4 linked regions of the Lepisosteus oculatus genome follow. The protein of the gene in region 2 purifies or fractionates together with the protein of the main gene of each other region. This does not show direct contact. Links are inferred from orthologs where the notes say so. Each region holds a gene or a part of one and is shown on either strand. Other genes may lie near its edges. The genes, in order: polr2g, med19b, cdk19 and cdk8.

What was found.
Region 1: the proteins of med19b (region 2) and polr2g purify together in Homo sapiens (affinity purification with mass spectrometry; 3 studies listed by BioGRID and IntAct, with this or other methods). This does not show direct contact. The link is inferred for Lepisosteus oculatus from reciprocal best matches to the Homo sapiens genes MED19 and POLR2G.
Region 3: the proteins of med19b (region 2) and cdk19 purify together in Homo sapiens (affinity purification with mass spectrometry; 7 studies listed by BioGRID and IntAct, counting the BioPlex papers as one, with this or other methods). This does not show direct contact. The link is inferred for Lepisosteus oculatus from reciprocal best matches to the Homo sapiens genes MED19 and CDK19.
Region 4: the proteins of med19b (region 2) and cdk8 purify together in Homo sapiens (affinity purification with mass spectrometry; 8 studies listed by BioGRID and IntAct, counting the BioPlex papers as one, with this or other methods). This does not show direct contact. The link is inferred for Lepisosteus oculatus from reciprocal best matches to the Homo sapiens genes MED19 and CDK8.

Annotation. Positions count from the first base shown.
Region 1 is NC_090713.1:22,714,152-22,721,685, reverse strand, and holds the start of polr2g (DNA-directed RNA polymerase II subunit RPB7), read right to left. Parts: upstream 3,009-7,534; 5' UTR 2,866-3,008; coding exon 2,854-2,865; intron 2,264-2,853; coding exon 2,154-2,263; intron 2,058-2,153; coding exon 1,898-2,057; intron 1,585-1,897; coding exon 1,534-1,584; intron 1,395-1,533; coding exon 1,329-1,394; intron 1,210-1,328; coding exon 1,138-1,209; intron 1,051-1,137; coding exon 1,017-1,050; intron 290-1,016; coding exon 276-289; 3' UTR 1-275. Other genes in the region: pld7 (5'-3' exonuclease PLD4), read right to left, coding at 4,117-4,322, 4,575-4,674, 4,837-5,142, 5,231-5,434, 5,514-5,641, 5,749-5,863, 6,396-6,579, 6,915-7,156 and 1 more. UniProt on the Homo sapiens protein: Core component of RNA polymerase II (Pol II), a DNA-dependent RNA polymerase which synthesizes mRNA precursors and many functional non-coding RNAs using the four ribonucleoside triphosphates as substrates.
Region 2 is NC_090701.1:41,770,521-41,778,339, forward strand, and holds the start of med19b (mediator of RNA polymerase II transcription subunit 19-B), read right to left. Parts: upstream 3,012-7,819; 5' UTR 2,881-3,011; coding exon 2,664-2,880; intron 1,330-2,663; coding exon 1,207-1,329; intron 1-1,206. Other genes in the region: tmx2b (thioredoxin-related transmembrane protein 2-B), read left to right, coding at 5,012-5,200, 6,307-6,367, 7,256-7,369. UniProt on the Homo sapiens protein: Component of the Mediator complex, a coactivator involved in the regulated transcription of nearly all RNA polymerase II-dependent genes.
Region 3 is NC_090697.1:5,170,493-5,178,476, forward strand, and holds the start of cdk19 (cyclin-dependent kinase 19), read right to left. Parts: upstream 3,006-7,984; 5' UTR 2,703-3,005; coding exon 2,575-2,702; intron 1,955-2,574; exon of another isoform or gene 1,726-1,954; intron 1-1,725. Other genes in the region: amd1 (S-adenosylmethionine decarboxylase proenzyme), read left to right, coding at 5,265-5,374.
Region 4 is NC_090700.1:5,395,251-5,403,173, reverse strand, and holds the start of cdk8 (cyclin-dependent kinase 8), read right to left. Parts: upstream 3,003-7,923; 5' UTR 2,777-3,002; coding exon 2,649-2,776; intron 1-2,648. Other genes in the region: E3 ubiquitin-protein ligase RNF6, read left to right, coding at 3,090-3,260, 7,322-7,502.

The sequences.
Region 1 (7,534 bases), on a different chromosome or scaffold from region 2:
CCAGCAAGAACCTGCTGAGTCACCTGCAGGGGCAGGGGCAGCCAGAGAACGCAGCTCTCTCGGCCCGCAGTCTGGGGAGAGCTGCACCCCCAGACTGGTTCGTGCTCCGGAACCGTGACACCCTGACCCCCCCCCCCCGCAGGGGCCGCAGAGTTGGGGCGCAGCTTCTCGTGGGGGTGCTGCGCTGTCGGGGTTCGTGTGGGGGAGGTGGGGGTTGATGCCAGACACTTATAAAAATAGATCTCTTCTCTTCTCCAGTTTCCTCTGCAGCAGGATCAGCTGACCAGGCCTGGAGAGAGACGGAGAGAGAGCGATCATTCCTTCATTCAAGCAACAGTGAGGTTCATCTTTAAAGGCCAAAACACTCCTGTTACACTGGGGGCTCCAGTCCAGTAGGACAGTCTGTTACACTGGGGGCTCCAGTCCAGTAGGACAGTCTGTTACACTGGGGCTCCAGTCCAGTAGGACAGTCCTGGTACACTGGGGGCTCCAGTCCAATAGGACAGTCCTGGTACACTGGGGGCTCCAGTCCAATAGGACAGTCCTGGTACACTGGGGGCTCCAGTCCAATAGGACAGTCCTGGTACACTAGGGGCTCCAGTCCAATAGGACAGTCCTGGTACACTGGGGGCTCCAGTCCAGTAGGACAGTCCTGGTACACTGGGGGCTCCAGTCCAGTAGGACAGTCTGTTACACTGGGGCTCCAGTCCAGTAGGACAGTCTGTTACACTGGGGGCTCCAGTCCAGTAGGACAGTCTGTTACACTGGGGGCTCCAGTCCAGTAGGACAGTCCTGGTACACTGGGGGCTCCAGTCCCGGTCCAGTAGGACAGTCCTGTTACACTGGGGGCTCCGGTCCAGTAGGACAGTCCTGTTACACTGGGGGCTCCAGTTCAGTAGGACAGTCTGGTACACTGGGGGCTGCAATCCCAGTCCAGTGACACTAGGGGGCGACAGTGACAGACAGCACACAATGCTGCAACACTAGTGGCTGGAATGACTGACTGAAGGACTCACCCAGATAATCATCCATCAGGGATCCAATTGCAAACTGAAAGAGAAAAACAACATGAGGGAGGGAGTTACCGGGAGCACGAGAGATGGGGGGGAGGGGTGAGAGAGAGAGAGAGACACTCACGATGTCGTTCTTGTCCACTCTCGTCCCCACAATCTTCAGCCGGATCTCGTCGTCCTGCTGGATCACGATGTCCTGCACGGGACAGACAGACAGACCGACCAGCGGCGGGGAGTCAGAAGCTCTGCAATAGCGGGCAGCGAGAGAGAGGGGGGGGCGGCGCCTCTCCTTGTTAAACCCAAGCCCAGACTCACCTCGTCCACCGTCTTGTAGCAGGGAGGGTTGGAGTTCGGGTCGAATTCCATCTCTGAAGGAATGGACTGTGAACACAAGAGCAACAGTTACCGTCCTGCAGCGCCGGAGGGAGAGCTGGGACAGACTTCCAAGTCGCAGCAGAGAGGGAAACAGGAAGCAGGGCCGAGCATCGGGACTAGAGAGGAAGAGGGGTCCGGTACTCACGTGACGAGAGATGAAACACGACATTGGTCCAATTTCTGTGAACAGCCCCACCTAGGAGATGGAGAGACGGGTTGTCAGGAGGCCGTCAGGAGGGTAGAAAAGAGGACAGAGAGAGAGAGACAGGCCATTAGGACGATTGAAGAGAGCAGAGAGAGAGAGACAGGCCATTAGGACGATTGAAGAGAGCAGAGAGAGAGAGACAGGCCATTAGGACGATTGAAGAAAGGGGAGAGAGACAGGCCATTAGGACGATTGAAGAGAGCAGAGAGAGAGAGACAGGTGATTAGGAAGGTAGGAAAGGAGAGATGGATGAGAAGGGGAGAGAGAGACAGGCCATCAGGAGGTCTCCATGCTCTGTCCTGACCTTGTTGACCTGAGTGACCACAGCATCCACCACCTCTCCCTTGAAGGGTCGGAACACGATGGCCTTGTACTTGACCGGGTACAGCACGAAGCCCCTGCCAGGCTGGATCACGCCGGCGCCGATGTTGTCGATGGTGGTCACAGCGATCACAAAGCCATACCTGCCACAGAGACAGAGAGAGGGGGCCGTCAGCACCTGCGCCGCAGGGAAGACCTGGAGCGGAGCGGAGCGGACTGCAGCGATCCCGCTCACTCACTTGCCCGTGCAGGTGCCCTCCACCTCCGTGAACAGCTTCTGCTTCACCGTGTTCAGCAGGTTGGGGCCGAAGTACCGGGGGTGGAGCAGGATCTCGTGTTCCAGGGAGATCTGGGAGGGAGGCAGGCGTTACAGAGCGGGAGACCAGGGCACCTGCCCACTTTTTAAAAATAATTGTTGCACGGCTCTTCCACAAGACGGTCAAACAAGGACGCGACATCACCTCAGCAGGTGCTGGAGGAGGCAGTGATTAATCCTCTAAACCTCTGGTGTGAGGTGCGCCAGCTGCACCATGTGACCAGCGCTTAGCAAGTTCCTTGTATTTACACCGCACTTTCCCCAGGAGTCTCCCCAGACAGGAGAGACCCAATTCACCGCCAGCTGGGAGACACATAGCGGATCAGGAGGATAGAGAAACTCATAAGCAGGTTCGGTGAAATGAAGCATTCCCATTTCTATTTCTAAAAATAAAACCTTTCACATTGAAACGTTTGTCGACAGGCAAGAATGGAGACGCGTTCACTTGCGCACACTTAAATATGTTTATTTCTGTCAGTCCTGCTATAAAATATTCCGGCAAAGACGAACTTTGCACTTTAAAAATGAAATATGAATATTCTTGCGTTTCTGAGCCCAGCGTTCTCCCCCAGTCAGAGCCGCCAGGCTACGTGACCGCGGAAATTAACGATTCAGCTACTTACGTGATAAAACATCGTGTCCCACTTCCACAAGGAGAACCCCTTTAAACCCAATTTAATTACACAAATACGAATATAAATAAAGCAACAACGCTACAACACGAATGAAGCGCCGACGCTCACTCCGCCTTTCCGTTTCCGTCTCAGCATTTCTACGTCATCCGAGGGGGCGGTGCTAACACTGGAGTCCTGGAGCGCTTTCACGTTAGTCTACATAGAGGGCCCATCTAGGGAAATATGTTATGCCTTATTTCTTCAGTTTATGTATTACCCACAAACGACTAAAGCCGTAAAACGTAGAGCATTATCAAGGCTCATGTGAGCAAGTATAATTAACGCGTCAGATGGGTAGAACTGTAGGCGTCTGAGGCTGACCTGAGCCCTCTGTCCACAGGCCTGGCTCTCAGGTCAGGCAGTGAGAGGGTGGGTTCCGTCACCGACCCCAGGGCCACCCCAGCCTCCACCGTTCCTGTTCACTCTCCACAGCCACACCGTCTTTCCGAGTACTGAAGGCAACTTTATTTAAAAAAGGCTTTACATGGCTTTGATAGGTGTGTGCATACAAGAACCATCATATACACATATCATTTGGCAACAGAAAATATAAAAATAATTTAAGAAGGATGCAAGGCAAAATAAGATCAGCGAGGACGCTGCTATATTCTTGTAGAGGCTTCATTATGGCTTTGATCCACTACCCAGGCAGAAGCATTCACACCGTAAAATAATCCTAAACCCATTCCTAAAAAAATAAAAATCAACATCGAACAAAGCTCTCACTTCAAACACGCTGCGGTACGAACATCTACAGCTGCAGCTCACTCAGCATTTCAGAACAGATTAGATCAAAATCAACCCCCCCACCCAGGCAATTTCTTTTATTACTGAAACCCTCCCCCATGCCCACCTCCCTCAAGGTGGAGAGAGAACAGCGCAGCCCGACCCGACCCGACCCGACCCGAGCCAGTCCAGGGCCTCGTCTGCGAGGGAGGACTGGTCCAGTCAGAGGGAGCCTGGGACACACACACTGACTATCCATCCTTAGGACCTCGTGGCCCAAAGAGTGTGTGTCCCAGACTCCCTCTGACAGAAGCTCCACACACACGGCTATCAAGCGCGCCCCCTGGTGTCCACTCTCGCTGACAAGGACTCCAGCGTCTCTCCTCCGTTTCAACTTCAGGCTTTGGCTGTGTGGCTTTGGCAGCGCAGGAAGCTGCTGCAAGCAGACGAGCGACGGTGCCCCCCCTGCCCCCCAGCTGGGCGGGGCTATGCGCTTTCCCGTGCTCCGCAGAGGTGGGCGGGCTCCGAGGAGAGGGGCTGAGCGAAGCCGGAGTCCCAGTCCCTCTCGAACACGGCCTGCAGGTCACTCTGGACGCTGCGCTTGCCTGCCCCGGCTGGAGCCCCCGTCTGGTTCACCACCAGCCCCACGCCCGCCGTGTGGGTGAAGTAATTCTCCGACCAGTTGGATGTCCCTACGCGAGGGGGGTAGGGGGGAGAGAACGGGGCACCGTCAGTGTGGTACAAGGCTGAGCGTGACGAAATGAAAAGTTGAGAGGCTGGCCTGCAGGGGGGGGAGGGGGGGGCAAGGCTAAGAAAGGGCAGGGCTGTGATAGGGCCAGCCTACGGGGGGGAGGGGTTAAGTGAGGCTTGGCTCAGGGCAGGGCTGTGATAGGCCAGTCAGCCTCAGGGTGGGGCGGGGCTCAGCGAGGCAAGGCACTGCTTACCTATGTACGCGACTCTGTCCGTCACCATGTACTTAGCGTGGTTCACCCTGGCGTAGGGGATCATCTTCTGCTCCTCGGTGGAGGGCACCTCGAACACTTTCTACAGAGACAGAGGACAGGACGAGCACGGTGAGGCCCCGGCCGGGGAGGGGGAAGACCGCTCGGACAGCGGGAGAGAGAGAGAGAGAGAGAGAGAGAGAGAGAGAGAGAGAGAGAGAGAGAGAGAGAGAGAGAGAGAGAGAGAGAGAGAGAGAGGACTGACCACGTGCAGCCGGCAGCTCAGGGGCGGGTGGTTCGGCACGCCGAGCGACTCCAGGAAGACGAACATGGGCTGGTCGGAGTGCGGCCAGCAGCTGACCAGCAGCCGCACCTCCACGCCACGCGCGCACGCCGCCGCCCGCAGCGCTGAGTCGATGGGCGGCCAGAACTGGGCCGGCTCAGTGTACTGGGAGGCCGGCAGGAAGTCCATGACCGAGACGTAGACGAAGCGGCGGGCGTCCGAGATCACGCCCAGGATGGCCGAGAGGTCGTCCGTGCGGCCGTCCGCGGACAGCGGCGGGGGAGCGCTCTGCGGGGGAGTGGGCGGGCAGAGAGTCAGGAGCAGCATGCACACAAATTCAGTCACGCACGAGCGCTGTCCGACGGCCGGCCCTCACCGACAGGTAGACCTGCGCCGGGAGCCCGTTCAGCTGCAGCTGCAGGGGGCGCTGTGCGCTGGACAGAGCGCTGAGGCGGCGGGGCCAGCGCGCGGGCACTGCGCCCCCTGCTGGAGAGCCCAGGAGCCAGTACGCCTGGAACAGCCGGGACACGTCTCTGGCCAGGCAGCTGCAGTTCGTCACCGAGACGGCCAGCTCCTTCACCTGCGGGAGAGCAGACGGCCAGTTACAGAGCCGGTCTCCTGCAGGGGGGCGGGCAGGCCATGAGCCGGAAGGGAGGCACCTGTGTGAGGGAGCGCCAGTCCATGTTGGCACTGCCCAGGTAGGCGTGCTGGCCGTCCACCTCCCAGAGCTTGGTGTGCAGGATCCCCCCGGTCAGGTTCTGCAGGTAGACCGGGCGCACCTCCGCGCCTGCGCACACAGAGAGGGAGAGGGAGGGACAGGGATCAGACTCGCGCAGCCTTCCCCCAGGGGCTGTGAGCAGGCTTGGGGGTGGGGTGCGGGGTGCGGCCTCCTACCTGCGAGCGCAAGGTCGTCCGTGTCCCTGGGGTACGTCTGGGGGCTGTTGACGGCGATCCTGAGGCCCACCCCTCGAGCTGGCAGGCCCCTCAGAGCCTCGAACACACGCTTCCCCTGCGCCGCACACACACAAGGGACAGCTCATTAACCTTCTGCCCACATGACTAGTGCAGCTGAAAGTCTTTCTTTCTCTCCAGTGCTCCGAGCGTCCGAGCCCTCTCCCTGCCTGCCCTCCAGCGCTCCGAGCCCTCTCCCTGACTCACCTCCAGTGCTCCGAGCCCTCTCCCTGCCTGCCCTCCAGCGCTCCGAGCCCTCTCCCTGACTCACCTCCAGTGCTCCGAGCCCTCTCCCTGCCTGCCCTCCAGCGCTCCGAGCCCTCTCCCTGACTCACCTCCAGTGCTCCGAGCCCTCTCCCTGACTCCCCTCCAGTGCTCCGAGCCCTCTCCCTGACTCCCCTCCAGTGCTCCGAGCCCTCTCCCTGACTCACCTCCAGTGCTCCGAGCCCTCTCCCTGCCTGCCCTCCAGTGCTCCGAGCCCTCTCCCTGACTCCCCTCCAGTGCTCCGAGCCCTCTCCCTGCCTGCCCTCCAGTGCTCCGAGCCCTCTCCCTTCTCCCCTCCAGTGCTCCAAGCCCTCTCCCTGACTCACCTCCAGTGCGCTGGGCTCGGAGGCCTCCAGGTCGGTGTCCCTCAGTGTGAGGTAGAAGGCTGCGATGCTGACGCTGTGGTTGGCTCTGTGCAGCAGGTCTCTCCAGGCCTGGGAGATGGGGGTCAGGCGGGGGGAGCCAGGGGGGTACTCCAGCCCCTCAGGGAGGCTCTCCAGCAGGGACAGGCTGCACCAGGAGGGACAGAGACTGACACGTTCCAATCTGCTGATTTCAGTATCAGCGGCAGCACGATCTTCGATATTTTTAACGGATTTACAATTATACTGCGTACAACGGCGACTGGGACTCTGTGGCCTTCCAGATAAATGCCATATCAGGTCATTAGCACAGTAGCACAGACTTTCCACACACGCAGCAAGAGTCACCCAATTCTCTGACAGCACCCAGGTCTGGATCCGCAGAGAAACAAGGGCCACAGGCACGTCTTCACACAGAGAGTGGTGGGGGTGGGGAGCAAGCAGGATCCCTGGGATGTGGAGGCAGCGCCCGCGCGTCCCTACCTGCAGTCGGAGCCGCAGGCCTCCTGCCGTGCCCACAGGTCCCCGGCCCACAGCCAGTCCAGGTCCAGCGGCGCCAGCAGGGCGCCGGCCAGCCCCGGCCTCCCAGAGGGCCACAGGAACAGGCCGCCCCCCCCCAGCAGGAGCAGCAGGGGGGGGAGGAGGCAGAGCAGGGTGGAGCAGTAGCGCCGCAGCTGCAGGGAGGGAGAGAGCAGGCCGGTCAGCCCCTGCTGAGAACCAGTCTGCTGCAGGGAGGGAGAGAGCAGGCCGGTCAGCAGCTGGGCTGGTCCTCTCCCGCCCAGCCGAGAGCCCGCGGCCTTCAGCAGAGCTACAGCTATTCCAGGTAAAGGATCTAGTTGCCCATTTGGACAGCTTCAAAGATTGCTCAAAGGGGAAAGCAACCCCAGCCCCGCCCTGGCCTGAGGGAGGTCAAGCACACAGCTCGGCGGTCCCCGAGTGGCCGAGGAATCAGAACACCCACAGGAGCACTCACCCTGCCTCGGGGCCCGGGCCGGCCCGCTCCCTCCTGCCTCGCCTCCCTCCCTCCGGCCGCTCGTCTGCCTCTGGGATTGAGGGCGGGTTTCTCGCTCCGGGCTCCCACCTCAAAGACCACCGCCTCTCGC
Region 2 (7,819 bases):
CTGCACTGAGAGAGAGGGGTGTCAGCCTCTCCTGACACCTGAAACATCCCGGCCCTCATCCTGCAGCATCAGATCCCCTCAGACTGGTACCCTCTGGCGCTCAATGCGCTTGGCGGACCAGTCTCTTGGAAAGCTCAGACACCTGCCTCCTCCGGCATGCCATACAAGAGACGGATATCTGACCGCACAGGGAGGGCACACAGTATAATGGACAGCAGCCATATCACCCTGCAGCTTCCAGCTGGCAGCCCCCTGGAGCCCAGCAGTAGGGAGCCTGGTCAGTACCTGGAGGGGAGACTCCTGGGAAAGCTAAGGCTGCTGCTGGAAGAGGTGTTAGTGGGGCCAGCAGGGGGCGCTCACCCTGCAGTCTGTGTGGGTCCTCATGCCCCAGTATAGTGACGGGGACGCTAGATTGTAAACAGGCGCTGTCCTTCGGGTGAGATGTAAAACCGAGGTCCTGACTCTCTGTGGTCATTAAATGTCCCAGGGTGTTTCTTGAAAAGAGTAGGGGTGTTACCCAGTGTCCTGGCCAAATTTCCCCCTGGCCTTTACCCATCATGGCCTCCTAATAATCCCCATCTCTGAACTGGCTTCATCACTCTGCTCTCCCCCCCACTGAGAGCTGGTGTGTGGTGAGCAGACTGGTGGTGGTGGAGGGGATCCTCATTATCTATAAAGCGCTTTGAACCAAGTGTCCATAACAGCGCTGTTTAAGTGTCAGGAATCATTATTATCCAAAACTGGACAGATTGCTCCTGCCAGTCAGCAGATTTAATTGCAGCGCTTGTTCTTTCTCACACTGAAGTTGTCAAGATGTCTCTCCAGGGCTGGGAAGACGTTGTAATGCGGTTTCAAGGAAGCACGACGGGAAAGAAACATTTCCAAAATCAGGGGCTCTTCAGCCAGCAGGGGACGAGGCGTCCAGAACAGCACCGTGGGGTTTTCCACTGTGTAACCTCAATTTAAAAGGCAAAACTAGTGGATTTTACCCATGACAATAGTAATAAATAGGACATAATTACTCATCTGTAATACGCCTCTCTTCGCCTACATGTACTGAAATACTCCAGTTTTCTGCCATGACTGAGGGAGGATGCTGTGCACATGGTGACGTCCGGAGAGTCTCTCGGCCTGAACCGAGAGCAGAGAGACAGAGGAAAGGACAGGCAAGACAGCAAGAGTGATGTAACCCCAGCCACGTCTTACCAGGCAACTCAGGCAGGAAATTGCTGAGCTTCTCCTTCAACTTCTTCCCACAGAACTTGTTGTAGGCGTGCTCCAGGTTATAATGGGTGATCAGGTTAGTGTTCCCAGTCAGTTCATTCCCCACTGAAAGAAGGGCAAAAGATAATAGCTGTATTAGAAACTACAGGAACACTGCCTGACTGCACACTACAGTACATGAACACTGCACTGAGAGAGAGGGGTTAATACAGTCCAGACACACTGACTGGACACTACAGGACATTAACACTGCACTGAGAGAGAGGGGTTAATACAGTCCAGACACACTGACTGGACACTACAGTACATTAACACTGCACTGAGAGAGAGGGGTTAATACAGTCCAGACACACTGACTGGACACTACAGGACATTAACACTGCACTGAGAGAGAGGGGTTAATACAGTCCAGACCCACTGACTGGACACTACAGGACATTAACACTGCACTGAGAGAGAGGGGTTAATACAGTCCAGACCCACTGACTGGACACTACAGGACATTAACACTGCACTGAGAGAGAGGGGTTAATACAGTCCAGACCCACTGACTGGACACTACAGGACATTAACACTGCACTGAGAGAGATGGGTTAATACAGTACAGACACACTGACTGGACACTACAGGACATTAACACTGCACTGAGAGAGAGGGGTTAATACAGTCCAGACACACTGACTGGACACTACAGGACATGAACACTGCACTGAGAGAGAGGGGTTAATACAGTCCAGACACACTGACTGGACACTACAGGACATTAACACTGCACTGAGAGAGAGGGGTTAATACAGTCCAGACACACTGACTGGACACTACAGGACATGAACACTGCACTGAGAGAGAGGGGTTAATACAGTCCAGACACACTGACTGGACACTACAGGACATTAACACTGCACTGAGAGAGAGGGGTCAATACAGTCCAGACACACTGACTGGACACTACAGGACATTAACACTGCACTGAGAGAGAGGGGTTAATACAGTCCAGACACACTGACTGGACACTCCAGGACATTAACACTGCACTGAGAGAGAGGGGTTAATACAGTCCAGACACACTGACTGGACACTCCAGTACATTAACACTGCACTGAGAGAGAGGGGTTAATACAGTGCAGACACACTGACTGAACACTATAGTACATTAACAGTGCACTGAGAGAGGGATTAATACACTAACTTACAGGACAATAGCACACAAAGTTACAACTGAAACGGAACAGCAACGAGACGTATTTAGTTTCAAGCACAGTTCGGACACTATATTCATCCTCTCAAGCTCTGCACTGCTGTGCCCTGTACAATACATCTCTGAATACTTTTACCGACTTAAAAAAGAAACTATTGAATGATACTGAATATTTTACTTCCTCGTCTATAACGCAAAGTCTTATCGAAGATGACTATGTGGGCGAGCGCAGTCTGTTTACCTGGAAGTTCCCGAAGTAAATAAAAAGGCTCATTCATCGCTGCGGGCTTCCGAAGAGGAGGCCCCTCATCCCCGAGCTGTGGTGGCATCTGTACCGCCATGGACACCTGATTCTGGGGTGGCGGCCCCGGCTGTTTACCCGGCCCGTAGCCCAGCGTCGAGGAGCCGGGGGGACCTTGAGAGTCGCTTTGTCCAAACAAAGAGAAAATTTCCGTCATCGATGCAGAAAAATGTTAATTTTAAGAAATAAAAAAAATAAATAAATCTTGGCAATTTTAACACAAATACTACCAAACCACCGCACCGTGCTTCGCGTTGTTTTGCTCTGAATCCGTGAGCTTCCGTACGACAAAGCAAACTGGGCGCTACCGTCTTTCTTCATATATAGGAGACTCAAAATGAAGCAGTGAACCGCTGTTGCATGATTCAGATCAAATTTGCACACCAGACGCAATTACAATGGTGCAGACGTTTAGTGACGCATTCTCGTTTTTATTTAAATACTGTATAATTAATTAGCATTTAGGAATCACCGGTCTAAATTCAGTGTCACATCAGTGAGCAGGCGAATATTATTAATGGCGTTGTTCTTCCACTTAAGTACCTGTATTCTTCACTATTATCCATTATGGAGAAATGTAATATTCTTAAACAGCTGAGAGTAGTCCATCTGCCCCGTCTATCCTGTTTGGCACTAGGTGGACAACTGATCCAAGGATCTCATCCAGCTGTTTCTTAACTCCCACCCCCCTTTGTGTAAAGAAGAAGCTCCCGTCCTGATTGGAGGATCTCCTCCAGTGCTGTCACTGCACTGGCTTCAACAACAACGCGGCTGGGGTGCTTGCTCCACACTCCCACCACCCTTTGTGTAAAGGAGCGTCTCCTCTCCTAACTGGAGGATTACATCCAGCTGTGTCTTGCAAGACGTTACTGTATCGGCTTCAACAGCTAGACTGTTGTTTGACACTCTCACCACTTTGTGGAAAGGGTCACAGGTGTCACACAAACAGAATTGATTTGTGAAGGTTTTGTCCTACTGCCCACCCACCCATCTCCTGTCCTGCTGGTCACTCAGCTGTTCCTTCTCCTCGTTCTCCTCCATTGCTGCCCGAACCGCAGTGCTCCCTCAGGGACTCAGCCACTTTCCCTTTCTCTGTCTCAGCACAGAGCTGCGGTCATGTCTGAATCGCCTTTTGTTTTTTACAGTAATTTCTTTGGTATTTTTGTGTATAACACTTCTTATTTGGTATTTTGACAGTAGGTGTCAAACCATGTATTTTGACTATGTGTCAAAACACCAGCACCTGCGGCTCCCAGCTGGCAGCCCCCTGGAGCCCCCTGGAGCTCAGCAGGTGTGAGCCTGGTCAGTACCTGGAGGGGAGACTCCTGGGAAACCTAAGGTTGCTGCTGGAAGAGGTGTTAGTGGGGCCAGCAGGGGGCGCTCACCCTGCAGTCTGTGTGGGTTCTAATGCCCCAGTATAATGGCGGGGTCACTACACTGTAAAAAGGCGGTGTCCTTCAGGTCCTGACTCTCTGTGGTCATCACAAAAACTCAAAAAGAGTAGGGGTGTTACCCCGGTGTCCTGGCCAGATTTCCCCTTGGCCTTTATCAGTCATGGCCTCCTTATAATCCCCATCTCTGAACTGGCTTCATCACTCTGCTCTCCTCCACACTGAGAGCTGGTGTGTGTGAGCAGACTGGAGCATCATCTAGGTGGGGCTGCACACTGGTGCTGGTAGGGATCCTCATTACCCGTAAAGAGCTCTGAGTGGAGTGTCCAGAAAAGTGCTATATAATAACAATAATCATACATTATTATTATAATGCGCATTATTATATAGCGCTTTTCTGGACACTAATAATACTCGTATATAAGTGTATAGAATTGTTTATTTAGGTTTAAGCTTTTGTGTTCATTTGACTGTTTATGTTAACAGCCGACACCAAATTTAGAGGCGTACAGTTTCTCATCTTTACGGTACAATAAAAGGCTAATTTTACGTATCAATAAAGCTCATTCAAAAACTTCCCTTTTACAAGGGCCTTACAGTGTATGTCACAATGCCCGATCAACCGAAAAAGTCCTATCCCTTTGCAAAGAAGAGTGACAGCTGTAATATCCAATAATATCCAAGATGTCTCCACAGCTAACCAATCCGATTACGCAAGAGGCGTGGCTTTATGTCTGTTGTTTGTCCGCAGTGACCTCTCTTCACTTCCCCTTTAAATCTTCCCTGCGACCGCAGACTGTTATTATTTGTCGGCGGACAGACCTCTGTGTGCATGTTCGTCTGCACCAGCAATCCGCCGCATATATATAGTGGCACTCTTGTTTGAGAGTTATAAAAATGGCGTTACTTACTCCCCTCCTGGCGTTTCTGTATCACCTTCCCCGGGTGTACAAGTGGCTGCTCAAGCCGTATTATGTGGCGTCAGTGTTTTTGTCGGTGATTTTCTTGCTGGTGCGAAAGACGCCGGGGATCTGTGAGCACTTGTCTACCACCAGAGAGGACGGCAACTCCTGCGATTTCGACTGGGTGAGTCCAGGGTTGTGATTTTAGAGCAGGCCGGTACCTCCGCGACTGACCGGCTGGTAGAGAGAGACACTCGCCAGTGAGCTCAGGTGTTGGTCATAGGGCAAGTGGGGAGACAGAGGGCGAGGGGACTGTTAGGACAGGGAGAGTGTTGGAGAGGACGAGGAGAACCAGGGCTGGGGACCCTGAACTAACTGGACCGGGTCTGTCCAGGGCCAGGGGTGGGAACCCTGTACCAACTGGACCGGGTCTCTCCAGGCCCAGTGCTCGGGACCCCTGTACTAACTGGACAGGATCTCTCCAGGCCCAGTGCTCGGGACCCCTGGACTAACTGGACAGGATCTCTCCAGGACCAGTGCTCGGGACCCCTGTACTAACTGGACAGGATCTCTCCAGGACCAGTGCTCGGGACCCCTGTACTAACTGGACAGGATCTCTCCAGGCCCAGTGCTCGGGACCCCTGGACTAACTGGACAGGATCTCTCCAGGACCAGTGCTCGGGACCCCTGTACTAACTGGACAGGATCTCTCAAGGCCCAGTGCTTGGGACCCCTGGACTAACTGGACAGGATCTCTCAAGGCCCAGTGCTCGGGACCCCTGGACTAACTGGACAGGATCTCTCAAGGCCCAGTGCTCGGGACCCCTGGACTAACTGGACAGGATCTCTCAAGGCCCAGGGCTGGAGACCCCTGTACTGTTTTGCACACAGCACTGGGGCAGCAGGCAGCTGGTGTGTCCGTTGGCCCTGATGTGTTTACTGTACACACAGGGGGAGAGGGGGCTGAGGGCGGCCACTGGCCTGGGGTGATGTAGGGTGAGGAGCTGCGGGAGGGTGCAGGTGGGGGTGGGAGGGAGTGTGGGGAGCAGTGGGAGAATGTGAGGTGCCGTGGGTGGGTGTGGGAGAGTGTGGGGAGCAGTGGGAGAATGTGAGGTGCCGTGGGTGAGTGTGGGGTGCTGTGGGAGAGTGTGCCGTGTGCCGTACCCCTCTGAGCAGTCTGTTGGGTGTTGGTTGTGTTGCGATTGGTAGTGGTAGCAATGGCTGCTGTGGGCTGGTGCGTGTCAGTGTGCTGTCCCTGTCGCCCTGACGTGCTGTGTGCTCTACCCCCAGAGGGAAGTGGAGATCCTCATGTTCCTCAGTGCCATCGTGATGATGAAGAACCGGAGAGCCAGTAAGACACTCCAGTCGCACAGGGGCGCTCGTCTCGGCTCCGGGCGCGTCCGGCTTTCTAGCAGCCTGAGCGCTCAGGCGCGCAGTGGGTCTGATTCTTTCACAAACTGCTGAAGTGTAACATGTGGAGCCTGGCTCTGAGGTGTTTGTAATGAACTGTCCCTTTAATGAAGTGTATTGTTTAAAAGCTGATTATTCAGCTTAAGGAACATCCTATCTGGTTGGTAGGAAAACCAGAAGGCATCAGGCCCTCAAGGAAGTGAGTCTGACACCCCTGTCCTGATGCATGCAAACCCCAAATAATGTACTGATGGCCAGTGGGCAACCGGTAGGTGGCGCCCTTCCCTCTAGACCAGAGTTTTCAAGCCAAGCCTCAGAATGGGGAACAGGAGCACTATGCTGTAGGACATGCTGTCATTCAGATGTTGACCCCAGTGTCCTGACTGAAAAGAGTAGGGGTGTTACCCCGGTGTCCTGACTGCTGGTCATTACAGACCCAGGACACTGTCAGTGAGAGTAGGGGCATTAACCCCAATGTCCTGACTACTGGTCTTTATACACATTTAGTGCAGAGGATGAGAAGTAAAACGGAGGTTCTGACTCTCTGTGGTCATTAAAAACCGCGGGGTGTTTCTTGAAAAGAGTAGGGGTGTTACCCCGGCGTCCTGGCCAGATTTTCCCCTGGCCCTTACTAGTCATGGCCTCCTAATAATTGTTTTGAATGCCTGTGTTCTTACATTTGGGCTGTGCACACACTTGAAATACACATTCATTCAGTGTCAGCAGGGGCATACACGTGGTATATAGTGTATAATGTGTGTAGGTATAATATGCTATACACTTGCAGTTAAACCTGTTAACTGTGTTTAAAACCCTTTCTCTTCTCCAGTCACTGTGGAGCAGCACGTGGGGAACATCTTCCTGTTCAGTAAGGTGGCCAACGTCATCCTGTTCTTCAGACTGGACATCAGGATGGGCTTGCTGTACCTCACTTTGTGCATAGGTCAGTCAGATAGCTACTGTAGGTACTGCCGGTTCTAATACTCTAGAGCGTCCCCTCACTCTGTACAGGCAGGGTGGGGGAACTGCAGTTCAATAATCCTTATTAAACTGGAGCAAGTCAGTGGACCTGTACGCTGTGAATAATCACTCCAGGAATTATTACTAAGTAATATATATGGCTTATGTTTTTTATGCTAAGAGACTTCTATTTGCCGCCATTTTACTGCTGTGTATCTTACTGGAGCAGTTCAGGTGAAGCACCTGGCTCAACAGCGTCTCACTTGGGATTCGAACCCTCAACCTTCCACTTCCGAGTTGATTATGCTGCTCACAGCGCCTACTATTATAGCATATACAGTATTGTGGTTGTTGGCATTAATCCAGCAAAGATGTTGATGATGGGAGACCTACCAACACTAACTCTGCTACATGTTGTTCTTTGTGCTGTTTC
Region 3 (7,984 bases), on a different chromosome or scaffold from region 2:
AGAATCGTGTTCGGCGCTAGTTTCACATTACATTGCTCAGGATGAAGAGAGGTGACAGATCAGAAGACATCACTCAGCCCATTTGAAAATGTGGATAAACATTACGAGTAATTAATAGATGCTGAACCCGTCTTGGGGCAGCACAGTAGTGCAGTGGTTAAAATTGCTGATTTGCAGCACTGGGGACCTGGGTTCAATTCCCAGGCTGCTATCTGCCTGTTGAGTCTATCCCAGCAAGCAACAGGCATAAGGCAGGATACACCCTGGAAGGGACGCCAATCATCTTCACTTAGTACAGGAATCGTACTTAGTTACAGTTCCTGCTGTCAAATATTTTACCCGTTCTCAATCATAGCAATGTACAATTTACATTCAGATATATGCTAACTTCAGGATTTTTTTTTTTACTACAAATATGAAAAAAAAGAAAAAGGAGCTTTATTCAACTCTAAAACCCTACAGCATTTTAACCATCATGGATTCATGTCTGCATTGTTTACATTCGAACTGTTTACTTGTCCATTGTCTGCTGTTTGTTTCTCTATTGTCTTGATGCACTGGCTGCACTTTGTGTTTTTACACTTGTTTTAACAATCGAGAGACTTTCTGTAAGTAAGAATCCCATTGTATCAGTACAGGTACCGGTTGACACTAATACCTATGTAAGACATGCAACCAGTCTTAAACAAAGCTGCAGCAAGTATCTACCTCTATAAAATAGGAATCCTGGGAGAAAAACACAGCAAGGTCAGTTTGCTCTCCGGTTCAACTCTCACTGCATTTTGCTCTCAACCCTGCTACCTGGTTTTAGACTCCCCTGTGCTTCCTTACAGGAGCCTAACTCACACCTCCTCAACAGACGCTTAAACAGCACTCAGCGATGCCTCCGGCTTGGTACTGACCGACACTATACACCAACAGATACACTTCAGGCTTCTGCACTGGCGTATGCATCTAAAGAGTGCTTGGAAAATAAGGAGAAATTTAAACCACACCATGAATTCAAACCGTTCTCTTCCCTGAGCAAGCAGGTTGGGAAGAAAAAGAAACTAACTGTAAACATAATAAACGTTTCAGACACCAGAAGAAAATATTAGGCACACACATACAGGTGCGACAGCCTTTTGTTAAGGGCAACAGTCATTTAAGCTCATTTGACCTAAACAGACGTGCCTTTTGACACCTCCTAGTGTGAACTTGGACTGAGAAGTTAGTCACTAACTGGGCCTGCATGGTCTTGGGGTGATCTAGACCTCACTGACAGGAAAGACCCATTGAGTAAACAACTGATTCAAAAGAGGTCGTGAAGAGTCCAGGGAGGAGGGCAAACCACTAGGAGGGGACAGCAGTGAAGCAGTAGGGGGTCTGATCTGTACGGACACTCTTTACATTTTCTCTTAAGACAATAAACCTTAAAACGAGAGGAATTCTGAAAAATAGCTTCCGACACGGTGCCGTGTACAAGGCAAACAGGCCGACGAAAGCTTCAACAATCGAGGTATCGGTTGAAACAAAATAAGAAAAGAACCCCGAAAGAGACGGGAATAGTTCAGGAGCTAACCGGGGCCTCGACGTGTAACGCCCCAGTTATGCACTTGACCCAAACAGTGTTTCGTACCGTCTCTTTCCGGGCGGCCTGCAGACAAAGTGTCGAAGCGGCAAACCCGGATTCAGAAACTGTGCACTGCCTGTGTCACGGTGCGGCGGCGGCAGAGTTTTGCTCACTTTCTGCCGCCCGAGACTTCACGGTGTTATTTATCCGGTTATTTTTTTTCGGCCAGCAAATGTTTATTTCGGTTATTCCAAGCAGAACCGGTACTTGATGACTGTGCACCCGTGAAACCAAATCGTGCTCCCGCTGCAACACAGTAACTCAAGTACCCGGTTGACCTCGATTTCCACGTGAATCTCAGACCGACTGAGCCAACCACTGAAATGTAACATTTACCCTGGGCTGACGAGCAACATCGCTGTGCCAAACCAACTTCCCAGTGAGGCTCCTTGATCACGTTTATTTCACATGTGTGCACCTATCGACTCGTGGGACCGCATTGAAATATGCAAGTTATGTGCCCGTCGCGCAGATAATTGCCTGACGACAGTGCTTTCAACTTCAACCGCTAGCTTAGAGGATGCACACTTGAAAACGTGGGGGGAGGGGGGGTTGAAGAAGACCATAACTTTCTAGTACATCTGTTTCCAGAAAAAAACAGCGTGACATTTCCAGCGCCGTGCACGCCTCAGCCTAACGCTACAATTCACTGATCGCCTGACCAGATTTCCAAGTTTTCAAGACGCCCCCGAGGACCTGCTCAGACCAAGGTGAATTGTTGTTCTGTAGGGGATAATTAAAGTGTGTTGTATGTCCATATTAAGCTACGTGCAATCCCCTTGACATGGAGTGACAGAAAATCAACATTTGGTGTGCATGTTACCGGGACAGGGTCCGAGCCGGAATGCATAACCCCCAGATCCAGTCGGAGAAGCCTGTGACTGTTTCAGCACCAGTCGGGGCAGCACATGCATGTAAAATGACCGGGTTTTAATCATCATAATGTCAGTTGTTTTTCTTACCCATCTTTGCGCTTGGCTTTATAAACATGCCCGTAGGTGCCTCGACCCACTTTGCAACCTTCATATTCAAACAGATCCTCCACTCTCTCCCTCTCGGCTGCAAGCTTCGTTTTGAAATCGTAATCCATTTTAACCCATAAATACTTCTTAATTTACAACAAAAATAAAATATTAATTATTAAATGTGTTAATTAAATAATCTAAGCGTTCAATTCCCCCATCATTTCCTTGTTTGGGATTTTGGTCTGCTCCGCTTAATGTTCACTGGCTCGTTGACGTTTCTGGGTGAGCGCGCTTTGCATTCTGGGGGTTGTGGTTTTCTTACCCACGGGGCCCGCGGACTACCCTAACGGAGCCCCCGCCGTCCCGAAACTACACTCCCCGCCAACCCCTTGCGGGCGGCGCGCCTGCGCAGTCGGGGTTTACAACCCCCCACAAAAATGCAGCAGCACGGGATCGGCGGCTAATGTTTCAATGTTTATCTCTACATATGTCCGTCTTCCGCGTCTAGTGGAAGGCTTGGAATGGGCGCATACGCGTATTTTAAAGGGGGTGGGTCTTCTGTCAGTGCCGCTGTGTGGCCGGTACCGTGAAAGTCGTCCTGTTTTCCCAGGCTCAGAAATGCCCCGCGATTATCTAATCGCGTGCGGATGCCGCCCCCCCAGTTTGTTATAAAACACCGTGACTTGGTTACTTCTGCGGAGAGGTCACCCCAAGAGCAGAAATCGCAATTGTGGGTTTTTTTTTTAAAAAAAACAAGAAAGAAGTCGGTGCTCCCGTTTCTTAGCCGGGCGTATAATAGTCGTGTGCATTTCACGTTAGATGTGTGTTCTGAATGGGACTGGTGACCCTTTGCCTTTTAATTCTGTGCATGTGGTAGTCTGTCGTAACATTACTCACAGTAGTACCTGCCCAAGAGGCACCGCACATCTAATTGGTCCAGAGCGTTGCACGTTAACATCTTGTCGGTGAAACACGTGTACTTGCGGGGAAGCCTATGGATGCAAAGATCTCACATGTACTCAGAACTGAACACCCCCCGATCTCGAGTTTCCGCGCTGCAGCGCGGCGGACTGTCGTTATGGTTTTCAATCCTTTGCCGTTTGTTTTCTCGAACTGGGGTCTGGGCCGGGGGCGGAAGTTCCGATCGGCGTGTGGCTGGTGAAAGCAGCAGTGACAGCAGATGTTTGAACTTACTGAGAACTGCTTGAAAACTTAAGGTCATGTTTTATAATTCAGCCGTTACACGTACAACGCGTATATTCCAATAGTCCATGAATTTAATTAATAACCTGGCTGCAGGACGCAAATCATTGTAAATTATAGTTTTAATGTGTATGGAGAACATCTCTGTTACTGTTTTTTTCTTGAGTTTTTTAGTACAGGTTAAATTCCTACAAATGCACCGTCATTCAGTGGTACTTATATACAGCTTTTCTCGTTTTCTAAACATCTGACGCCGTTTCCCAGACTCTATTTTGTTTGAAAACATCTCAATCTCTCAGTAACGTGCAGTATATCGTATTTTGTGTCAACAGCACGCCATGGCTTATAAAATTATCTGATAACACCAATTCATGGCCGCTCATTTTCAACAAAACATTTGCATTATAAACTCCAAAGTAACTGGAGTGTCATTGTGCTCTTCTATGTAAAGTGGTTTATCAGAAATTTTGCATATAACGTATAATATCTAACATATAACTTATAATGTCTCACCATATGGGATATAACATAACAGTGATTAAAAAGGTGCACGTGATGAGTCCAGTAGCTGGAACTACTGAAATAAATGCTGTTTTTACAATTCCTCGTATGTACGAACTGGAGATTTACAGTACAATCCATCCAGCAAATTCGAACGCTCTCCAGCGGCGTTTTCCAGAGAAAAGTTAATGGTCACAAAAAATAAGGCTGTGTTTCACACGTCGAATGAGATGTTATAGAACAAAACAAAACAGAGTGCAGACTTATGCGTGAAGACCAACTTGAAGATGAACCCCGCCAGACTTAATAACAATTTGAAAACAAAACCCCAACATACCTTTGCACCTACCTACCGAGGAAAAGGTTACTTTAATGGGCTAGGGTGCAATGCGTATCCCACCCGATTGCGTTGCATTCGCCCCAAGACCTAATAAGCAGATCTTGCACAAACCTTATGTCACTTTTGTGTCAAACGCTCGCAATAGGCCAGGCTTCCTCCTGAAAGCACACACTCAAACAGGCGGGGTATTAGGAACCTCTCAGCTGCCCCTCGCGTGTGCAAGGTAACTGTAGGCCGAGGCGGGCCCCTGTCGGGAGTTATTGGCACGGCGGGCAGCCAATGGGCGCGCCGCCCATGGGCTCGGAGGCGCCCGATTGGCCGCGGCCCGCTTGTGACGTCGCCAGGGAGGTAATAAAAGCACCGGGCGAGCGGCGCTCGCGGCTCTACACAGTATGGCCGGCGACATTAGCTAGCGCTCGCTAAACGGTATTCTCTGTCAAAGGGAAGACGGCAAAAAATCAAGCAAACGACACCTGGACTGCTTAAAAAAAACAACACAAGACTGAATTAACCATTTCATTAAGTTATCCGAACCTCGCCAGGATTAACGCAAATCTGAAAAATTACAGCCACCAAACCCCCCCACCACCACCACCCCGACGTGTAATTTGTAATTTCTGTTGTCGGTGTCTGTTGTCTCACGATGGAAGAGAACGGTGCACACTTCTTCGAGGGGACGGAGAAGCTGCTGGAGGTGTGGTTCTCCCGGCAGGACGAGAGCAAGGGGACAGGAGACCTCCGCAACATCCCCAGGTTGGTGCGGCCGGGCGGTCCCTCTCACGGCAGCCTTTGCCCTGCGCTCGGTTGTGCTCTTTTTAATCGCACCCCCCTCCTTGCAAAACGCGATCCCCTAAAAAAAAAAAACGGGGCCGATTGAGTCTTTTTTTTTTCATTTGTGGTGCGTGTGCGTATGTACGTGGGGAGACAGCGGGCGATCCGTTTTGCGTGGCGCCTTGAAGCCTCGCTGCCCCGGGTGCGTGTCGTGGGTCGGGTGTCGTGTCCGCGTCGCGGCGGCGGCCAGGGGAGAGCCGTGTGCTGCTGGCTCTGCACCGAGACCATCCCCCCCTTCTCACCCCCCCCCTCCCTCCCACGGCCCGAGCCTGTCCCCCGCTCGTCCTGCGGGGCTCGGCCGCTGCGGGTCGCCCGGGCTCGCCTTCCCCGGGGGGGTGGAGCCGGGCTCCCTCGCAGGGAGAGAGCCGGCGAAGGGGTCTCCAGCGATGCGTGTGCGTGCATGCGTGGGGGATCGCGGGTGGGTTTTCTGTGCGCAGTCACCGGTGCCCGCTGGTGATTTACTGCCACTGCAGGCCCGCTGCTCCCTCCCTCCCCCAGTTGGAGGGGGGGGGCGAGAGAGTGGTCTGGGCTGTGACAGACGGCGGTGCCACGGGAAAGAAAAGTGGCGAGTCAGGGGTGGGGGGAGAGAACGCACGGGCTTCACACGTGGGGGCAGTCGAGTGAATGCAATTGGGCGCACGGGCAAAACGTGGCTCCCCCCACGGGCTGCGTGGAGCCGACTGTCGGCGGATCCATCCCTTGTCGGAGGGGGCCCGGGAATGCGGCCGGGCCGGTCCCCCCCCGTGGCGGAGCGGTGCTTGCGGCCGCGGTGACTTACCTCCCCGCTCCCGGGGGCAGTCCTGCGGGCGCGATCGGGCCGCCCCTCTCCGCTCCGCCGGGTGCGCCCTTCAATCATCGCGGGCGGCTCTGAAAGGCACACCCCCACCCACCCCACCCCCTCCGTGTGCAAGAGGGCGGGTCGCGACAGACGCTTCCACGCGAGGGGGCACATGGCTCGCCCCGAGCACGCTTCGGGGGGGGCGAGAAAAGAGTTTGCTTTAGATTTGTGTGTTTTTTTTTCTTTTCTCTCTGGTCTCCTCGCACTCTCGGCTAGTGGCGAGCAGCAGGTGGTTCTCGGACTGACAGTGTGTTATTTTATAGCGTATTTTGCAGAGGACTCTAAAGCACTTTGCATACAGGAGGGGCCCAGTCCAGCCACCCTCAGGGGATGGGTGTAGTAGAAGAGCCGTCTAAGGAAATCCAGTCTTTGATTTCAGGAGTGCAGCCTCCAGGCAGCGAAAGGGTGAGCGTTAATCCCATACCCAGCCCGCCAGGCTCTGCTCGGCGTTTCTGTGAGCACCAGGGGGGTTGCACAGGGGGTCGCCCGGACCCGTCGCCAGGCTGGGCACTGGCGCCTCACCAGCTGGTCTTCTCCCTTTCCAGTGTGTCTTCAGAGCCAGAAAAGGGCCTTTAAAGTAGGGTGCAAAACCCGAGTGTTTTTCTGCTCGCCTGTTGTGCAGTGCAGTGCAGGCCTCCTGTTTGTCATGAGTGTTTGTCACCGGCGCGCTGAGGCCCGAGCGATCCGCGACTGTGCCGGTCTGCAGCCGGCCTCCCCTGCTCATTGGCTCCTCCGGTTCCTGAAATGCCACCGTGTTATTTATAGCCTCTGTGGAGGCTGGAATGAGGAAACGGCCCGAGTGTCCCTGGCCTTTTTTAGCTCTCCGTGGTTTACCCTGCAGTGCTCTCAAGGAAGGCTAGTGGCGTAACATGCGCTAGTGTGCAGTCAGGGGCGAACGTGTACAGCACAGACCTGAACAAAGTTAGACAGCACAGTGGAAGGAGTTATAAGGGAGGTGAGTCTGCTTCCTCCCTTTTAACGCTGTATTGGAAGCTCTTCCATTACCGTTGAAACTGTTAACGTTTCTGCTGCACTGAAGAATTTAGACATTTGACCTTGTTGAACCCCAGTATAAGCTTGATTGGAATTGCACATATATTCATGCGTCTTGAGAACATCTGCCGCTGCTTCGGCATTTTTTCTCCTTCACACAAACTGAACAAATCCAGCTTTCTGGATGATGGATAGAAGTGGTTTTTTTCTTCAGAATAAAATAGGCATCCCCCTACAGTATAAAAAACCCTTAGGACTTATGTGGATTTCTGCATGAATGGCTACTAAAATGTGATCTAATCTACATCTCAGTCAGAATAAATAAAGCCAGTCTTATTTGACAAACACACATTTTACATTGCCATCTCTTTATTGAACAAATGGTTTAAACAATCAAGGTCATTGATGGAAAAAGTATGTGAACCCTTATATTAAGTAATGAGGGGAACCTTCTTTATTGGCAGTAACCTCAACCCAACACTTTCTGTAGCTGCTGATCAGACCTGCACAGCGGTTGGGAGGTATTTTGGCTCCTTCCTCTACACAAAACTGTTCCACTTCATGTATATTTCCGCGATGAGTGCTTGAACGGCCTGCTTCAGATCACGCCACAGCAGCTCGGTGAGATTGAGGTCAGGACTCTGACTTGGCCTTTCTGAAATCCGGAACGTCTTCTGCTGGAGCCACTCTGTTGTTGATTT
Region 4 (7,923 bases), on a different chromosome or scaffold from region 2:
TTCTGGGACAGGGATTCTCCCATGCAAAAGGCCTTTAATGGACATGGAGAAGGTGTGAGATATCTGGCTGCTGAGGCTAACCACAGCGAGCAGCTGACATGCTGCGCATTGCGCGAGAGTCTCCTCGTGTTCTTCCACTGAGCAGCCCGGGGTGGCTCCACAGAGCTGCTGAAAGCAGCTGCTCGTGCTGTGGCTGGACTTTTGCAGGACAGACCATCTCAGCCCTGCAGCTTCAGACGCGTCTGGACTCTGCGGAGGCACTGGAACTACGAATAAACCAACTAACAGCACCGGCATCATGAACACAACACCTCGGGCAGTCTGGGCCGCGTCTCACAGCACGTGGCTCACAGAGACAAAGACCTAAAAGCAGCATCTTTTTCTGGGAGGGTCACTTGTAAAAGAGCGTGTTGATCAATTGGATTGCGAGGCGTGTTTCTTTTATTAAAACTCCCGCTGCCGCAATCTGGTCAGCTCGCAAAAAAGAAAGTGACATCGCGCTCGTTTCTGCAGGCCTCTTTCAGAGACGGCAACAGCAACACTTTCTCAAGCAGGAAAACCCCCAGGAACTGAGAAGGACCCTTCTCGTTTAAGGGATCGCCGCAGTGCGGCGCGTTCTCGTTATAGTGTCTGCAGACCAGCAGGGTTTGGCACTGTGCTGTCAAGAGGAGGCTCAGATACATCATAAAATCTCAACAGCACACACCCAGCGAAAAGAGACAGGCTGTCCAACCGCTGGTCCAACAACCACTTTTGCACCACACACACACACACACACACACACACACACACACACACCCTTTCCTGCTTGGGGGGGTGTAACACAGCTCTTCTGCCACAAAGAGCTGATGCACACACAGAGACGTGCCATCAACCGAGTCAGCCAGGGCTTTTATCCAAAGGGGTTTAATCAGTAGACACACACGAAGCAGGGCATGTGACTGAAGCATCTCGTGGAAAGGTACAACAGCACTGTCCCACCCGAGATGTGAACCCGCATGAGAGTGGTGGACCCACAGCTTCCAGTGAGGAGTCCAGAGCCCTGCCCGCCGCTCCACACTGTAAGATTCCCCTGCGTTTTGGTGCTGGGAGTTCGGGGCGGACAACTGCAGGAGATGACCCATATTCGAGTGCCTTCTGTCCCGACAGTCAGAGCTGACACGCATCAACACCAGGCTGGATGTCACTGCTCATTAGCGGCGCGGCTTCACTCGAGAGGGGGATGAATGACCCCTTCCATCCGCCAACTTAAATGCAGTTTTTGTTTTGGTCCCTTCTTCTTAATTGAGGACAGGACATTAAACTCATCCCCCCTGCCTGTGGTCCCCCCCCATCTTGCCTGGCAGTGACCCTGACTTGTTGGGGAGGAGAGCCGTGTATTGTGCCCCCAAGAGATACTGGGACCAAGCCTGGCTTCTGTCTGTGGACAGGCAAGTCCAGAACCGCAGTTCAAACTCTTTTCTAAGGTGCCAAAACACAGGAGTGGTGGCTACCGCGTGCCCTCCATTGCTCACACACAGTGCGTGTGTCACGTGTGCACTCAGAGAAAGAAGGACGCTCACACCGATACAGCCAGTGGCAGAGAAGCACCTGTGCACTCTTGGGACTATTAATAAATTCCTGTTGAAAAGGACAGCAACCCGGGGTCAGCTTTCACGTCTCTCCAGGCAGCTGAAGGATGTCCTTCACCTTGAGCTCCAGGGGCAAGCGGAACTTCTTCTTCGTCTCATGTAACTGCTATATATATATTAAAAAAAAAAAACTGAACCGCCCCTCAAGATGTATGGAGCATCTCTTGCGAGTTGCTATTCGGGTTGATGCGAGCGATTTAAAGCAGTGACCGCAGACTTCGACGCGCAGAGCTGTCCGCAGGAAGACACAGCTCCGACAAACGCAGAACCCTCCGAGAAATGTCGGTTTGTTTGCAAGTGCCTCGTGTTCGCGTTTATTGCAAAAGGGGGGCGAATAAAAGTGAATAACACCATCGTCGTGGAGACTCGGAAGAGGAAAGAAAACCTGAAATTCACCCCCCCTCCCCCCCATAAACGAGAGGTTACTCTGATATGGGAACGTCGCTCTTCGGCAAATCGGTTTCCCGAATCCCACCATCCCAAGCTGAGGATTTACAACGTAAACACCTCCTCGACAATGTATTTTTTCAGGACGTTTTCTGCAAACGGGCTCGGTCTATTACGGGGGACGCCGCCACTGTAGTTCTAATCAGAAAACAGTGCAACAGCCAGGCGGTGCAAATTCGTAACACCAGTTAAGAAGAGCAACGATTTAGCAAAAACAGCAGCACACGGCACCTATCCAGTTATCTTTGGTTGGCACGGACTGGGGGGGGTTTGGTGTGACAGTCCGGGCAGCTTTGTCCCTCTCCAGTTAAAGAGACAAAAACAGCCACATCTCATGGAGCTGGTACTGTGTTACTGAGCATGTCTCTTTTCTATTCGGGTTGCGTTATCCAGCAGGACGACAACAACAACAACAACAACAACACCACCGTCTCTGGGATCTCAAACAATAGAGGCAACACCACCACCACCACCAACAACAGCAACACAACTAAAATGAACCAAAGAGCCGCGAAGAAAGTGTGCGCTTTATTTTCACCCGGGGCCAGCCCGGCAGGCCTGCCGACTCACCCATCTTTCCTCTTCGCCTTGTACACATGTCCGTAAGTGCCCCTTCCAACTTTGCAGCCCTCGTATTCAAACAGGTCCTCGACTCGCTCTCTCTCCCCAGTCAGCTTCACTTTGAAATCATAGTCCATTTTCCTCGCCTTTTTTTTCCCCCAAGCGCCGCCTGGGAAGCAGCCCCTCTCTTCGCACCTGGGCTCTACGTATCTATCGATCTTCCCCCCCCCCCCTAGCGCTGCCCCCTCGCCGGGCCGAGATGCGGCATGTACCGGCTGTGCGTGTGGCGGAGAGATGCACGATTTTCTGCAGCGTCTGGGCTCCTGCTGCACCGACACCGACACCGACACCGCTTCTGCTTGCTTCCCTCTCTCTCTCTCTCTCTCGCTTTCTGCAGCTGCGCCTCTCTGCCGGTATCTGCTCGCAGGAGCTGGGCATCAGCGCACGGCAATGTCGCAAAGCGTCGCCAAGCCAGGCTTTAAAATAAAGGACCGTCTGGAAAGGGAGACGTGCGCTTCTGTGCGGCGCACCACGTGGATTTTAACCCCCCGGCCCTTCCGCAGCGAAACCGTCGCTGTTGTCAAGAGGAGCTCCGCTGCGTGGACCAGCGGCAGAGGAAACGTGTGTTTTCCGACCTTCGTAAATCACGTTATCGCGCCGGGCGTTTAAAAAACACGCGCTAAGCCAACTCTTCGGGTTTCTTTTGTTTTTTGGGCTGTCTTTTTCCACAGTTGTGAAGTAACCAGACTGGGTTTAGACTGAACGTCACGAAACCTAAATTTTTATTTTTTGGGGGGGGTATATTTTAACGTCAGAGCAACAAAAACAAACAAAAAAAGGAGATTGGCCGTTTTGTAAACAGATATTGCAGTGTATATATATGTACAAAGATGAGCTCCGAAACTCTAGAGCTCCCTCTACTGGAATTTCGCTTGAGTGACCATGCTAGACGTGAAGAGCATCAGGTTTTGTTCCGGCAACGTTCAGTAAGAAAAAAAGGTCGAATCTCATGTTAATATCCAGTTATAGACGATTGCGAGGACAGTCGTTTACAGACATGAGACTTCTTTTTTTCCCCAGTTCTGCCAGTTGTCACCAGATGCTCTGCCAGATGTCTTTTCCCCCAGCTCTCGCGGGGCGTGTGTGGCACTGGTGTGTGAGACATTTAAGGGTGTCGTCGGGGTCCTGGAGTATTGGAGACGCGCCCAAGTCACGATAGTGGTTGCCCTGCGTGTCTTGCGTGAAAGTCGTGCAAGGAGCGAAGAACTTCGCTGTATAATAAAGTTTAAAGATCCCATGTTGCTCTTCTGAAGAGTAAGGTCTTTAAATCGGTAATCGAGGCTAAATTCCTGGATTTAACCTTAACTTCCCCCTTCAGTTCAACTGAAGAAGCGGTTTCTCAGTCCTCCTCCGCCTCGCCGATCTGCTGTGCAGTGGGGTTCCTGGTCCAGAATGGCCACATGCTCGGTCACACAAGCTGCCCTTCAGTGGTGACTAAGGGGAGACCCCTCCTGTCTGTAAAGCAATTTTGGATGGAGGGGGGTATATAAATTAAGGACTCTTTGTTGGACCTCCATTATTATACTACACTTAAACATCAATGGCCGTGGTACACATACAAGAGGCATCTGTACTTTCAAGTATGCAAACATCAATACATTCCAGGCCTAGAATGGAGCAGGGCAAACTAACCTTAAAACACAAGGTACAAAATGGAAAACACAAATGATGCACTGACATGATTTGCCACTTGTGGCTGTTTCTCCAGGAAAAGACGCTGGGTCACAAGGACATTTCCCACAGAAGTTTGATACAGGCTTTTAACTGGGTGGGGGGAAAAAAAACGCACCATCTGCAGGAACTGGTTAGCATCGCAGCGCAGGGGTCCAGGGTTCAATCCCTGGGGTGCTGTCTGCATGGAGTGTGTATGTTCTCCCACGGTCCAAAGACACGCTGGTGGGCTAGTTGGCTTCTGGGAAGATCGGCCCTGGAGTGTCGGTGTGCTCTGTGACGGACTGCGGTCCCATGCAGTGTGTATCCCACCTTGACCCCAGCTCACTTGTGACCCTGTACTGTTAAAAGGGGTTAGAAAATGGATGGATGGATGTTATACGAATAGAAAGGAACAGGTAATGCGCGTATTCCATGCTGAAAAGAGAAGAAAGAAAACACAACGTTTCGGCCGTGGGGCCTTCTTCAGGTGTCTTTTGTATGACTTGCAGATTCCGCCATGGTATTTACCAGTAAATGCTGTGCGAATCGGAAAACGGTGCAGTATCGTGTTCCAATAGGGAATACGCTACATAGATAGATACTTTATTGATCCCGTGAGGGAAATTGCAGTGCAACAGCAGCTTATAATAATAATAATAATAATAAAAATAAACTTTATTTTATATAGCGCCTTTAAAGGTGGCTTCTCAAAGCGCTTTACAGGATGACAATAACAATAAATAAGAAGACTACAACAATAAATAAAGCTTAACACAGACAACACAGCCACAGTGTAACAAATAATATAATAATAGTACAATACATACAATACAATACAAGAGTTACTCACAGTCTGGACACACAAAGAACAGACTAGAACAGAAGGGGGGGGAGGGGGCGACACTGGTATTCAAGAGTATGGAGATAAATCGAAAGGTTTACTTTTAAATCCATGACACGATTTTAATTGAGGCGTTAAAGGAACATATGTACAAAACGTGAGTCTAAAAAAGAAAGCCTAGTGTACTGTACATGTCTCCTGGAGGGGGGGGTGCAATGTATCTCGTCGCTTGTTGCAGGTAGGACTGTATTGGGTGCTGCACTGGTGTTCCCATCTTACACTGTATCCCGGACAGCAGGGGAAGGGAAGAGGACCCGTCCATATTTCAGCTGAGGGTTTCAGGTACTGAAGTGTGCCCGAGCTGTCTTGTCACGGCAGCGGTTCTCCTTGTACGTGTGCCGTCTTCCCTGGACGGAGCGTCTGCTCTCTTTGCGGTGCCATTTTGTGTATCGCGAGCACTGAAACGGTCTACACGGCGGTGGTGAGGCAACGCAATCTCACTGTATAGGTTACGCGTTTGTTTGCATGGACACGCACGTCCGCAAGACAGAACAGCACCGGCGGCGGGGCTGGGGTTTTTTTCAAAGGGAATCCGAGGCGTATTTTGCGGGGATTTCGGGAGACCGACGCTGTCTTTTGTGTCTTCTTCGCGATGAAATATCCGGGGCCCGACTCTCATTTTTTTTTTGTTTTCTGTTTGTCCCGCCTCCCCGCTCAGCTGTTTGGGCGTTTCGTCTGTCAATATACGGGTCTGGGCCCACTGATTGGTAGGGAGCCCTGTAAGGCTTGTAGTATTTGTATCTAGGGTTAGTGTATTTTTTACGAAGGCCCATCTTCGCTCTGTATAAACCATTTTATGCACTGATTTTACATTTCACTTCATGATACTGTGTTTGGCTTCTATTTTTGTTTAACCTTAAATTTTAGAGTGGGCGCCTAATCGCGCGTTGCTACGGAGAGCACGTATCTTCCGTGTACTCTTAAAAAAATGAGAAAGCAGCTTTCTGCACCAGGTTGTTTTTAATTGAAAATTTTTTTAGACTGTTCCTTCCATTTGCTGGCTCTGCTGGGGAGATAAAAAAACATATTTTCGTCGCAGAGCCTTTTAGACAAATGCAGAGATCATGCCTAACAGATGTTTATTTCTGTGTACCAACAGCTCCGCAGTGAAACTTTGTTGGAGTTTAAGATGGTATATGTGATAAGGAATTATATTCTGGTCTCAGTGGTTGATACGGTCATTTTTCATTGGGATAGACGTTTCTGGATAGTGACTGAGACATGAACAGCCCCGTGTGAATGGACTGTGTTTTTGTTATCCTAACAGATACACTCCCAGTTTATGCTACTGGAGACAGCACTTTTTCTTGGTTATTTCAAGGTTGTTTCCTCGTAGTGCATAAACGGGCATAAGGATTCAGATGAAGCAAACGTCATTTTAAAGGTGTAAGTTGTAATGAATCATAAAAGCAACACAAGTACAGTCAGTAATATTTCCAGTGGATCCAAACATAGCGAGAGTCTGACAGCTTACAGCTTATAGCCCTCACAGCAGCTGTACTGAAAACTGAAATCTGCACAATACTCTGCATATTGTTTTGCTAGGAGTTTTTGTCCAATTTGAGCAGCCAGCCCCACCTGCTTTCTGCCCACAGAGTGCACCAAGGGCTTGAGCTGTGTCATGTTGCAGTCCTGGAGGTACAGGACTCCCGGTTTCGATTCTTCAGGCCCACAGGGTATTCAGAGCCTGTACGCTGCTGACTGCTGACACTGCTGTCATGTTTCATGTCGCCAGACTATTGCTTTCTGACAGATGCCAGGCAATTTGAGGTTTTCCTCATGCGGTGCTTTGTGGATTTATTTCCCCCCATTACTGCTTTTGTCAAAATGTTGTGCGGCAGTGATAACGGTTTTCTCATTATATACGTGCAGCGGGAGACTGTGGACAGGCCGTCTGCGGGCCGGATATGATGTTCTCGGGTTCCAGGTTTCGAATGAATTTGAACGAATGGATGCAAAGTTAAAAGTTAATAGTGCAGAGGAAAGCCCCGAAACCCTGCTGTTTGTTTCGCTCGCCAGCCTCACGGAGTGTGTTCTCCCGGTAAACTCCCCCCCCCTCCTCCTTCAGGCAGCCGGAGCGGTTTCCGTGGCGATGGACCCTCCCAGCCCTGCGGCGCCCGGCGGGCGGGACGAGCGGCGGCGGCAGGAGGAGAGGCTGCGCCGCGAGGAGGCGTACTACCAGTTCATCGACGGGCTGAGCGAGGACGAGTACCGCCTCATGAGGGACAGCAACCTCCTGGGCACGCCAGGTACGCGGGTCCCCCTGCCTGGCCCGGTGACACTGCCCCCTGCTGGGCGGGGGTTTGAGGCTGCGCTTGCTGGGAGATCAGATGAGGTCGCTTCACTGGCCCGATACAGTTTCTTGCATTAGGAGTTCGTCTTTTCGCAGACCCCAGCTTGCTCTCCTTGAGACACACAGACAGGGAGAGAGAAGCTCAGGATTGGAGCGCAGGGTCGGCCGTTTATATGGCGCAGCCCTGGAGCGCTCGGGGTGAAGGGCCGTGCTCGGGGGCCCCTATGGAGTAGATAGATAGATGAGACTTTATTGATCCCGTAGGGAAATTGATGTGTTACAGCAGTCCAGCCCAGGACAAGCAAAACAGACATCAGAATAGTTATAAAACAAAAGACAAACAAGATAAATAAAAATAAATACATAGGTGTGTGCAA